Yarrowia lipolytica: one gene and its partners. The protein of the gene in region 2 interacts with the protein of the main gene of each other region in a pairwise test. Links are inferred from orthologs where the notes say so. Each region holds a gene or a part of one and is shown on either strand. Other genes may lie near its edges.

What was found.
Region 1: the proteins of YALI1_F10115g (region 2) and YALI1_A01766g interact in binary tests that used the Saccharomyces cerevisiae proteins (3 or more experiments, as listed by UniProt). The link is inferred for Yarrowia lipolytica from reciprocal best matches to the Saccharomyces cerevisiae genes SMT3 and MCM5.
Region 3: the proteins of YALI1_F10115g (region 2) and YALI1_A08468g interact in a two-hybrid assay, tested with the Saccharomyces cerevisiae proteins (2 studies listed by BioGRID). The link is inferred for Yarrowia lipolytica from reciprocal best matches to the Saccharomyces cerevisiae genes SMT3 and RAD18.

Annotation. Positions count from the first base shown.
Region 1 is NC_090770.1:173,729-178,209, reverse strand, and holds YALI1_A01766g (uncharacterized protein), read left to right. Parts: upstream 1-1,591; coding exon 1,592-3,826; downstream 3,827-4,481. Other genes in the region: YALI1_A01777g (uncharacterized protein), read left to right, coding at 1-37, 417-1,105; YALI1_A01736g (uncharacterized protein), read left to right, coding at 4,426-4,481. UniProt on the Saccharomyces cerevisiae protein: Acts as a component of the MCM2-7 complex (MCM complex) which is the putative replicative helicase essential for 'once per cell cycle' DNA replication initiation and elongation in eukaryotic cells.
Region 2 is NC_090775.1:1,010,684-1,013,151, forward strand, and holds YALI1_F10115g (uncharacterized protein), read right to left. Parts: upstream 882-2,468; coding exon 609-881; downstream 1-608. Other genes in the region: YALI1_F10110g (uncharacterized protein), read right to left, coding at 1-411; YALI1_F10122g (uncharacterized protein), read left to right, coding at 1,543-2,468. UniProt on the Saccharomyces cerevisiae protein: Not known; suppressor of MIF2 mutations.
Region 3 is NC_090770.1:845,122-848,561, reverse strand, and holds YALI1_A08468g (uncharacterized protein), read right to left. Parts: upstream 1,704-3,440; coding exon 654-1,703; downstream 1-653. Other genes in the region: YALI1_A08467g (uncharacterized protein), read left to right, coding at 1,822-2,751; YALI1_A08436g (uncharacterized protein), read right to left, coding at 3,022-3,440. UniProt on the Saccharomyces cerevisiae protein: E3 RING-finger protein, member of the UBC2/RAD6 epistasis group. Associates to the E2 ubiquitin conjugating enzyme UBC2/RAD6 to form the UBC2-RAD18 ubiquitin ligase complex involved in postreplicative repair (PRR) of damaged DNA.

The DNA of each region.
Region 1 (4,481 bases), on a different chromosome or scaffold from region 2:
CAGATCACCTTTGAGTGTCTCGAGCCTTTGAAGCATGGTGAGTAGACCGGGGAGAGCGGTGGTAGGCAGTGCGATGGCCACATGGAGGGCCACATGGAGAGACACATGGAGAGCCAGTGGCAGAGACTATTCCAATCTAATTGACGTTGGATTGATGTCAAGTTGTTGATTGGTTCTTTTTTAGGTGCATTGATCGGGAGTTGTAGGCTGGTGGATGAGGCTGTCATAGGGGTTCATGGAGTGTCTCCATCTCAGCATCTATCCAAGTGTTGGTTGAGCATCCACCAATGTTGATTGAGCTAATCAGCAATTGTCCATCAGTTGATGGGGTTGAGATGGATTACTATTCCTGGTTCATCAACTGGGTCCTCAAGGGCTTCGGTTTACGAATGTCCCAATATCTCTTACTAACACAGACCTCGAATGGAAACTCACATACGTTGGTTCGTCCACATCTTTCGAACACGACCAGGAACTCGACTCGCTTCTGGTGGGCCCGGTTCCCGTTGGAGTCAACAAGTTCGTCTTCACGGCCGACCCACCCACAGTTGACCTGATTCCCGCGTCCGAGCTGGTTTCTGTCACCGTCATCATTCTGTCGTGTTCTTACAACGACCGCGAGTTTGTACGAGTCGGATACTACGTCAACAACGAGTACGACAGCGAGGAGCTGCGCCTCAACCCCCCTCCAAAGGTGCAGGTGGACCATGTGGTGCGAAACATTCTTGCTGAGAAGCCCCGGGTGACTCGATTCAACATTGTGTGGGACAATGAGGGCGAGCAGGGCGAGGAGTTCCCTCCTGAGCAGCCCGACGCCGACCTTGAAGACGATGAGGAGGAATATGGAGCGGGAGAAGAGGAAGAGGAGGTTGAGGAGGAGGTCGAGGGAGAGACTGAGGCTGACGCCAAGGAAGACATTGAGGCTGAGGGTGAAGCGGAGGCCGAGGGCGACGGCGACGGTGACGGCGACGGAGAGGACGAGGATCTCGAGGAGGCCTCCGATGAGGAGATGGAGGTTGTGGATGATGAGGTTGGAGAGGAGTCTGAGGGCGAGGACGACAAGGAAGACAAGGACGACAAGGACGACAAAAAGGACGACAAGTGATTGTACGGTAATGTATTTATTTGTATTAATAGAATGATGAATGTTAGTAAGCAGAAATCCATCTTATACAGCGTTTGCATGTTTCAAGCGGCCCCGACCAAAACAGCCACTCCCAAACATTGCAGCCCTAACCGCGAGACGCGGGCTCTCACCCTTTAATTAATTTGGCAACTTTATTACGCGTTGCTAGGGGGTAACCGTGGCGGGGTTTGACGGGGCGATTGTGCGACGATAGACGGAATATGACGGAAATTTTGAGATATTTGTGAATTTCCAAGCTCTCGGAGGTCACAATTACCGACTCCAATCGTTTCATTCACCCGTTGCCCGGTTGTATGGTGTGGTGTTCGATCGTGTATTCTTTTTCAGTAAACTTTCTACTTGTCCCGAATAGGAATAGTAACGAACGCGTGTGCACACTTCCTCCCAGTGCGAAAAGAACTCTCATCAACACCTCACCACACCCCCCGCCACACAAGATCCGCAATGTCCTTCGATACAGGAAGAGTGTATTCCACACAAGTGCTGCCCGGCGACGACGACCGGGTCGAGGACACCAACGTCGGACTCACCCGCAAGTACGCCGACTTCATCCGCGAGTTCTACATTGACGGCAATTTCATCTACCGAGACCAGCTGCAAGACAACATTCTGGGCGGCATTCTGACCATAGAAGTGGACATTGCTCATGTCCGAGCGTACGATGGAGATCTGGGTCAACGGCTGGCGGACGACCCCACCGGAATGCTCAATCTGTTCCAGCTGGCTGCTGCCAACGTGGCAAGACGACTAATCAACCCTTATATGGATGAGGCAGACGAGCGACTACGAAAAGAGGGGCCCGACGCCATTGCCAAGGTCCCCTACGTCCAGGTGACGCTCAGATCGGACGCCTCCATCACCCAGATTCGAGATCTCGGATCGACACATGTTTCCCGACTGGTTCGAGTGCCCGGAATCATCATCGGAAGTGGCAGCGTCAGCAACAAGGTCAAGACGGTCACTCTCATTTGCTCACACTGCAAAGACCAGATCAAAATCGAAGTGACTCCCGGATTCGCCTCTCTCAACATTCCTCGAGCCTGCCAGGGACCCCCCAACCCCAATGGAGAAGCCAAAAACTGTCCCCTGGACCCCTACAAGATCCTGCACGAAAAGAGCGAGTTTGTCGACCAGCAGGTGCTCAAGATGCAGGAGGCGCCAGAAATGGTGCCCGTGGGAGAAATGCCCCGTCACGTGATCATTTGCGCCGATGGCTATCTCGCCAACCGGGTGGTTCCCGGCACTCGAATCATGGCCATCGGCGTCTATGCCATTTACTCGGCGCAAAAGGGAAAGAACAACAACAAGGCTGGAGTCAAGGGTGCCGTGGCCATCAAGAGTCCCTACATTCGACTAGTGGGAATGACTGGTCTTGATTCTAACAACGCTCCTGTTGCCGATGGACTCAACCCTTCTAGAGAGGTTATCTTTTCAGAAGCCGAAGAGCAGATGATGATTACCCTCAGTAAAGAGCCCGATCTCTACGAAAAGATCACAGGCTCCATTGCTCCGTCCATTTACGGAAACACAGACGTCAAGAAGGCCATTGCATGCCTTCTGGTAGGTGGCTCCAAGAAGCTACTTCCAGATGGAATGCGACTCAGAGGAGATATTAACGTCTTGCTGCTGGGTGACCCCGGTACTGCCAAGTCGCAGCTGCTCAAGTTTGTCGAGAAGGTGTCTCCTATCGCCATCTACACCTCCGGTAAGGGTTCTTCCGCTGCCGGTCTGACTGCCAGTGTGCAGCGAGAGTCGGGGTCTCGGGAGTTTTACCTCGAAGGAGGAGCCATGGTGCTTGCTGATGGAGGAGTAGTCTGTATTGATGAGTTTGACAAGATGCGGGATGACGATCGAGTTGCTATCCATGAGGCCATGGAGCAGCAGACCATCTCCATTGCCAAGGCCGGTATCACCACCGTTCTCAACTCTCGAACAGCCGTTCTGGCGGCGGCCAACCCCATTTTCGGCCGATACGACGACATGAAATCGCCGGGCGAAAACATTGACTTCCAGACCACCATTTTGTCGCGTTTCGATATGATTTTCCTCATCAAGGATGACCACAATGCCTCCAGAGACGCCACCATCGCCAAGCACGTCATGGCCATCCACGAGACCGGAAACAAGACGGAAGAGGAGGGAGAGATTCCTCTGGATCTGCTTAAACGATACATTTCGTACTGTCGACAGAAGGTGGCTCCCGTTCTGTCAGACGAAGCATCGGAGCGTCTGTCTGGCCACTTTGTCGAGCTCAGAAGACAAGTTGCGGCTGCCGAGCGTCAGATGGGCAGAAAGTCGTCGATTCCCATCACCGTTCGACAGCTAGAAGCTATTGTTCGAATCACAGAGGCCCTTGCCAAGCTGGAGCTTCAGCCTGTGGCCAGCGCTGCCCATGTGGAGGAGGCCATTCGACTGTTTAATGCATCTACAATGGATGCCGTTACCCAGGGAACGTCTGGAAAGGATACCATCATGGAGGAGGTGACACAGATCGACCAGGAGCTGCGACGACGTCTGCCCATGGGCTGGTCGACGAGTTATTCTCGTCTGGTTACCGAGTTTGTCAACACTCGAAACCATAGCCAGGAGGCTCTTGACCGAACGCTTCATGCTCTGGAGAGATCGGAGGTCATTCAGTTCAGAATGCAGCGACAACGAGTTTACCGAGTTGGTGTTTAGTGGGATATTTGAATGTATGGGAACCAAGGCTAGGTCTTGACGAACCTGCGGAGGAACATGGAGAAACGACGGAGGAACGATGGAGACTTCAAGGAGACGACTGTATAGAAATTAGTTAGTGTAATTTTATTAATTTATAATGAACTGCGAGTTCGCCGACAAATGGGTGTTTAATGATGGTGAAGGCAAGAGTCTCCGGGTTACGCCAGACGACCGTTTATACAACATGTTGAACTTGTAGAGGTGGACGAGAAAGATACAGTACTGTATGTACTACAGTATGTACATCTATCTAAAGTATCGCACTCTGTACTTCTCTCAGTATCCGCTTGTAAGGCGAAAAACACCATTGGTTGATTATCCATGAACAAGTCTTGACTCCACAGATTCATACGTGAAAGACATCTCTTACTCAGCATCAGAAATGACCCAAGATCTCAGCTGAGCACCAACCGTTGTCCTTAAGCACAAACAGCTACTAGTACACTTGTACAGGTCTTCACGCAAAGGTCTTTCAGTTATCTGGTTGACAAGGCTTGTCCTGATTTGTATTATGAAGGAAAGTATGGATGTTCATAAAGTAGTTGGTTCAAATCACAATGATTATTACACAACTACTATCAAGTATATCCACCCAGGTCACACACCACATTGC
Region 2 (2,468 bases):
GCCGTACTTTGTGTTTGCCAGAAACTGTTGGGGAATCAAACCTCCATAGCTGACAGCAACTACGAGACTGAAGTCATTGGGCAGAGCATTGATCTCCGTCTTGTTGTCTGCCCGAAGCACCGTAAGGCCGTTCTCTACCGCGAAGTCGGTAATAGGCACATCTTTGAGCTCCTTGAGACCTCGTCCAGCTCGTTTGGGCGGTTTCGTAACGACTGTGACGCTCTCAATGGCACTAGGGTCCTCCTTTTGTAGTTGGAGAACCGCCTGTAATGATTTGATGCTGAATTTGTCACTTCCAAAATATGCGATTTTGAGCGCCTCATCACATGGTGCTGAAGTGCCGAACGTCCTCGACAGGCCACTCCATGTGGCTCGAACAGCTCTAGCCCTCAATGCCCACGTTTTCATCATGGTGTTGAGTTCAAGTTTACATACGAGTCCTGTATTCGTATGTACGCGTCTCTTTAATACAGCAATTATGTACTAGTAATCTGATTACGTAAAGCAGATTTTGGAGATGGAACGAGATATATTGCGACAATTTCTACGCGCTCAATATTAAACAGCTATCATACACTTTACTAACAATCTACCAGTTAATATCCCGCTTAGCAGCCACCAAGCTGCTCCTGGTGAGCCTCGATGGTGTCGCCGTCCTCAATCTGCAGAGTCTCGGGGGTGTCAGTGTCGGTGACTCGCTGGCCGTCGTAGAGGAAACGCAGGGAAGACTTCTGCTTGCCCTGTCGCTGGCAGAAGGCGTCGATCAGTTTCTTGAGCTGTGTGGACTTCTTGATCTTGAAGAAAATCTCCGACGACGAGTCGGTGACCTTGATGTTGACGTGCTCGGAGCTGTCTACCTTGGGCTGTGTTTCCTCAGACATCTGCTGCGTTAGTTTACGAGTGGACAGAGGTGCGTTTCTCTCTGGTTTGTGTCACGTTCGGTACGTCACGTTCACCGTCTCGTGTTGTGCAAGTGCAACTTGAGCGTGGCTGCAAGGCTGAAGCACTCAAAGTGGAGCATACAAGCTCAGTGTATATAAACACACGTACGCCCGCTTGTACTCATTTCTCCTGCACCTTGTCAGCGCCTCTGTTACTTCATCTTTGCCACCATACTCACTTTTGATGTTTGTGTGTAGTTGTGTGATGGATTTCGTGGATTGCACAAACTATGATTGTGAAAGCCGCGACTTCAGGGCTAGGGGTTCCGAAAGGGGCAACTAGATTTGAGCAAACCGGTGTATAAAAGGAAATGAGATGAAGAATAATATTTGCAGCTGAAATCGACGAAAAAAGGAGGCCCGATCATTGGAAATCTATTGTAGGACATAGAGAGGACCTTGGTTACTCACCGTTGCATCCATCTACAGCCATGCTTAATAAGCAAATAAACCTCCGCTAAGCTCACCTCTGAAGGGTTTTTCTGACGAGCATGGGACGACAGACAGGACCAGCCACAGGGACGGGAAGAACCGCATTATTCACGAAAAAAACCCGCCAATTTCGAACCCCAAAGACATTCGACACACTCAATCACGGCCCATGAACTGGCTGAGAAAAATCAGAGTGTTTATCTGGGGAGAGTACAAGAGCACGGCCGAGGAGGAGCACCTGTTGCGCAAGATTGACTGGTTTGTGCTCTCCTTCTGCTGTCTCATGTACTTTACCAACTATCTGGATCGAGCCAATTTGTCCAATGCCTTTGTTTCGGGCATGCGAGAGGATCTCCAAATGTACGGCCGAGAGCTCAACATCGCCAACACGCTCTTCACTGTGGGATACACGGTGGGTATGATCCCCAACAACCTGGCTCTTCAGGTGTTCAAGCCCCGGTACTACTTTCCCTTCTGCACCATGGCCTGGGGCCTATTGACTCTGGGCACCTATGCTGTGACCACATACAAGCAGATCTATGCCATTCGTTTCTTCCAGGGCTTTTTTGAAGCGTCTACGTTTGTGGGCACCCATTTCATCCTGGGATCGTGGTACAGTGGTAAGGAGTTGGCGAAGCGAACCGCCATCTTCACATCATCAGGGCTCATTGGCACACTCTTCTCTGGTTTTCTGCAAAGTGCAGTGTTCAAAGGACTCAGTGGGAAAGGAGGACTAGCCGGCTGGAGATGGCTGTTCATTATCGACGCCATCATCACGTTTCCCGTGGCTCTCTATGGCTTTATTTTCTTTCCAGATACACCAGCGACGACACAGGCCTTTTATTTCGACGAGAAGGAGCGCCAGATGTCTGTCATGCGACTCCCGCCACGCCCAGACACAAAACTAGACTGGACAGTTGTCAAACGGGTGCTTGGACGATGGCACTTTTACATGTTTGGGCTGCTATGGGGCATTGCGGGCGAGGTGGAGTCTCCTCCAGCCAACAACCTGTTTGGACAGTATCTCAAGGCTTCCGGGTGGAGTGTTATTGAGAGTAACAGGTACCCGATGGGCGTTTCTGGAGTCGGAGTGGT
Region 3 (3,440 bases), on a different chromosome or scaffold from region 2:
AATAGAGGTGGGTATATATAATTATATATAATTAACAGTATATATACAAGTAAAAGACACGTCTTGGGTACACTTGTATACAAAAAAACATTGACAAAAAAATACTTGTTTTTGTACAAGTAGCTTGGTTTAATAAAATATTTACAAAAAGGGTCGATTAATTAGATTAAAGTTTAATTAAGTTTAATTTTATCAAAACCTTTTTTATGCTCAAAACGCACGTATCCAACCCGCATCTCCAATCGTGGGCGTCTGGTGTAGTTGGTTATCACATGCGCTTAGCATGCGCGAGGTCCCCGGTTCGATTCCGGTGTCGTCCATAAGAGCTCTTTGGCTCTTTCTTTTTTGTTTCTTCTTCTGGTCTCTGTTCAAGACAGGTATTCGAGACGTCTTTCTGACTGGTGAAGGTCCTCACTTCGATACGAAACCCAGTTTTGGGAGGAGTTGTGTTTTTTTTGTGTGGATATTGTTAGATCAAATTGAAGAGCGGAACGAGACGAATCAAAACGTCGTACTTTCACGCCTGTGGGAGCTCTGTGCCACGATGACTGTCGACTTCAAACTTGGGCGATCTTGCGGCGAAACGCGTTTCTGTGATTCAAATAAATCTTTTTATGTCTATTGTAAGTGTTAACATGCATGCATTCTATGTCTTAGGAGACAACCTGATACCCCTCTGTTTCACTCCTCTTCATGTCCGGCTCGTTGTCCTCCCTGCGATCCACTGCTTTTTGGTGCCCCTCCTGCTGCTGCTGCTGCTCCTTTTCCTTTTCCTGTTTCTTCTTGAGAATCGACTTCCTTGCTTGTTCGATCAGATAGTCGTAGTCTTCCTTGTGTTTCTGGACCCACTGTCTATCGTCAATGTTCTTGATGGTCATTTTCACCGGTTGTGCGTTTTCGTTTGCCACCACTGTCGTTTCCCACCTTCGCAGATCGTCCTTGATATCGCTCTTTGACCGTGGCGTCTTATTGTCCACATTTGCGTTCCACAGCGTCACCCACTCGTCGTAGCGCCGAAACAGCGTCTGTTTGGACCCCGAAGTAGAAAGGCCTTCATCCTGCAGTTTGCGACGCACGTTGGCCACGCTTTCTGACGCCTGGTTGACTCGCTGAATCTTGCGCAGCGGCTTGGTCTTTTTCTTGGTGCCCAGCCAGTTGCCTCCATTGGCTCCGGTGTCGTTGCAGTTGTTGTCCAGGTGTCTGTTGATGGCTGCTCCTGGAAGCATGGCCTGGCAAACAGGACACTCGACCTGAATGTCGTCCGACGAGACCAGGGTTTCTGTGTAGTTTGTGCGCGTACGTTTGCGACCGGACCGGCGTCTTCCGTCGTCCAAATCTGGACTGCTGGGTGGCTCCACCACCTCTGGAATCGGCTGTTTTGCCGCCTCCTTCACCACGCGAAGAATCGTGGCTCTCTGGGCGCTGAAATGCTCCACGAGGGTCTCGACAGTCACGTTTTTGCGCAGCTGCGAAATCTGCTGCTCCTGCATACACGTGGGGCATCTCTGGCTGGTGTTGGTGAGATATCGCTGGATACACAGCGAGCAGAAGGTATGGCCACATCCCGTGATCATGGGCGCAGTGAAGAACTCCTTGCAGATGTGGCAGCGCAGAGTCTCGTCCACGTCTTTGAGGCCGCTCAGCTTGGAGTCGATCCAGTCGCTGGGATCGGGAATGTCGCTATTCATGGTGTGTGTCGCCATGGAGCAAGTTTTACGCGTTCATGCATGTTAATGGATCCGAGTTTATTAATCTTTGGGGATATTTAAGCAGCATTTAAAGATAATTTCGTAGATTAATTGCAATTAATTTCAGCAAAATATGAAATGTAATAACAGGAAACAGACCAATAATGTACACCTTTTGATCAGACAAGATATTAAACGGCTTATTGATTTTGATCAAAGAAAACCGTTCATACATACAGTACATACACAATTGTTTCTACAGCAGCGATCTGACAAACGAAATAATATTGTGAAAAGTGTCAACATGTGTACCTGTACAGTTACTGTATTTTTTAAAACACCACCATTGAGTATACCAACTGTCCTACTGCTGAATACACCGAGCGGTATCTTGACACATCCACAAGTACTCCCGACCCACACCTCTCCGACCTACCCCATCCGACCTATCTGCACCCAATCCACCAGACCGGTCTCTTGTCAGTGTAAACAGATCACTCATAAACAGCCCCTATCACCGCTCAAGATGATATCTGTCTACGAGCTGGCAGCAACAGTGCTCATTCTGGCCTTGTACACGGCATATCTCGGCAACCTACCGACGTTCGACTACCACACTGCTCGCGAGCACAAGCTCAGCAAAGTGCGTATCCTCAAAGAATGCATCTACCGACTGGACAAGGAGATCATCCAGCCCTGCGAGGAGGTAGAAAGATCGCTCAGAGATCTCATTCAAGAGTATAAACACAAAAGCGGCGCTAGAAAACCCACAGTCACCATTCCTATCTTCAAGAGAGTCAGAAGAGAGAACTTAAGACTGTTCAGGTACGCCCCCAAAGCCAAAGCGTTTGTGAGAGTGCAAAGCCCGAAAGAAAAACCTCACCCCCAACAGCGTCTTCCAAAAGACACCAATGAATTCGACGTGACCAACCTGAGACAGGTGAACAAGTTTGGTGTCAACTCCGACAAAGATCCCTATTGGCATCCTCAACCAAGACATCCTCTCAGCTCTCTCAGTTGCAACCCCTCCACGAGAAGGTATCCCCCGAAACTCCATGCGTGATGAAAACAATATATGTAGCAGCAACAATGTGACTCCAGTGTAGTTTGGGGTCATGGTGGGTACCTTCAACAACATCTACCATGACAAGTGAGAACTGTAGAGACAGCTAACGAGCAGTTGAAACACAAGCCAATATTCTATTCATCATAAATATATTACGGACATTAAATACCTACAAGGGTATACATTCATCAGGTGTAACACCTGGTCAGTGGTCTGAGACATGATTTCTTTCTTCTTTCATCACAAGCACAAGCACCCCCCCATTAATTACTGCTTTCTGAAATAGCCAACAGTAGACTGGGCAGGGGCGGGGGTAGAAGAGCGCGAGACAATAACCGCAAGCACCCACTGGGGCAGCCACAGACCGAACAGCACCTGCCAGGTCCACACCTGGTTACCTCTAAGCGACCACAGGAGCATCTGCAGGATATCGAAGGGCGAGGTGTGCAAAACGGCGCCAACGGCAACCAGCCAAGTCCAAGGGCATGTGATGATGAGAATCAGTAGGTTGCTCTTGGTGTGAGCAGACCCAGGACGGATGAAGTTGAATGCCACGGTCAGCAGACCCAGAACCATGGCCAACGAAAAGTTGATGGTTGCCAGAGCAGTGGTAACGAGGCCGTGGAGCAACAAGGAGATGGCCAGGGTAACGTTGGGCTCGGCGGGCGCGCTGGCAGGGTGAGGAG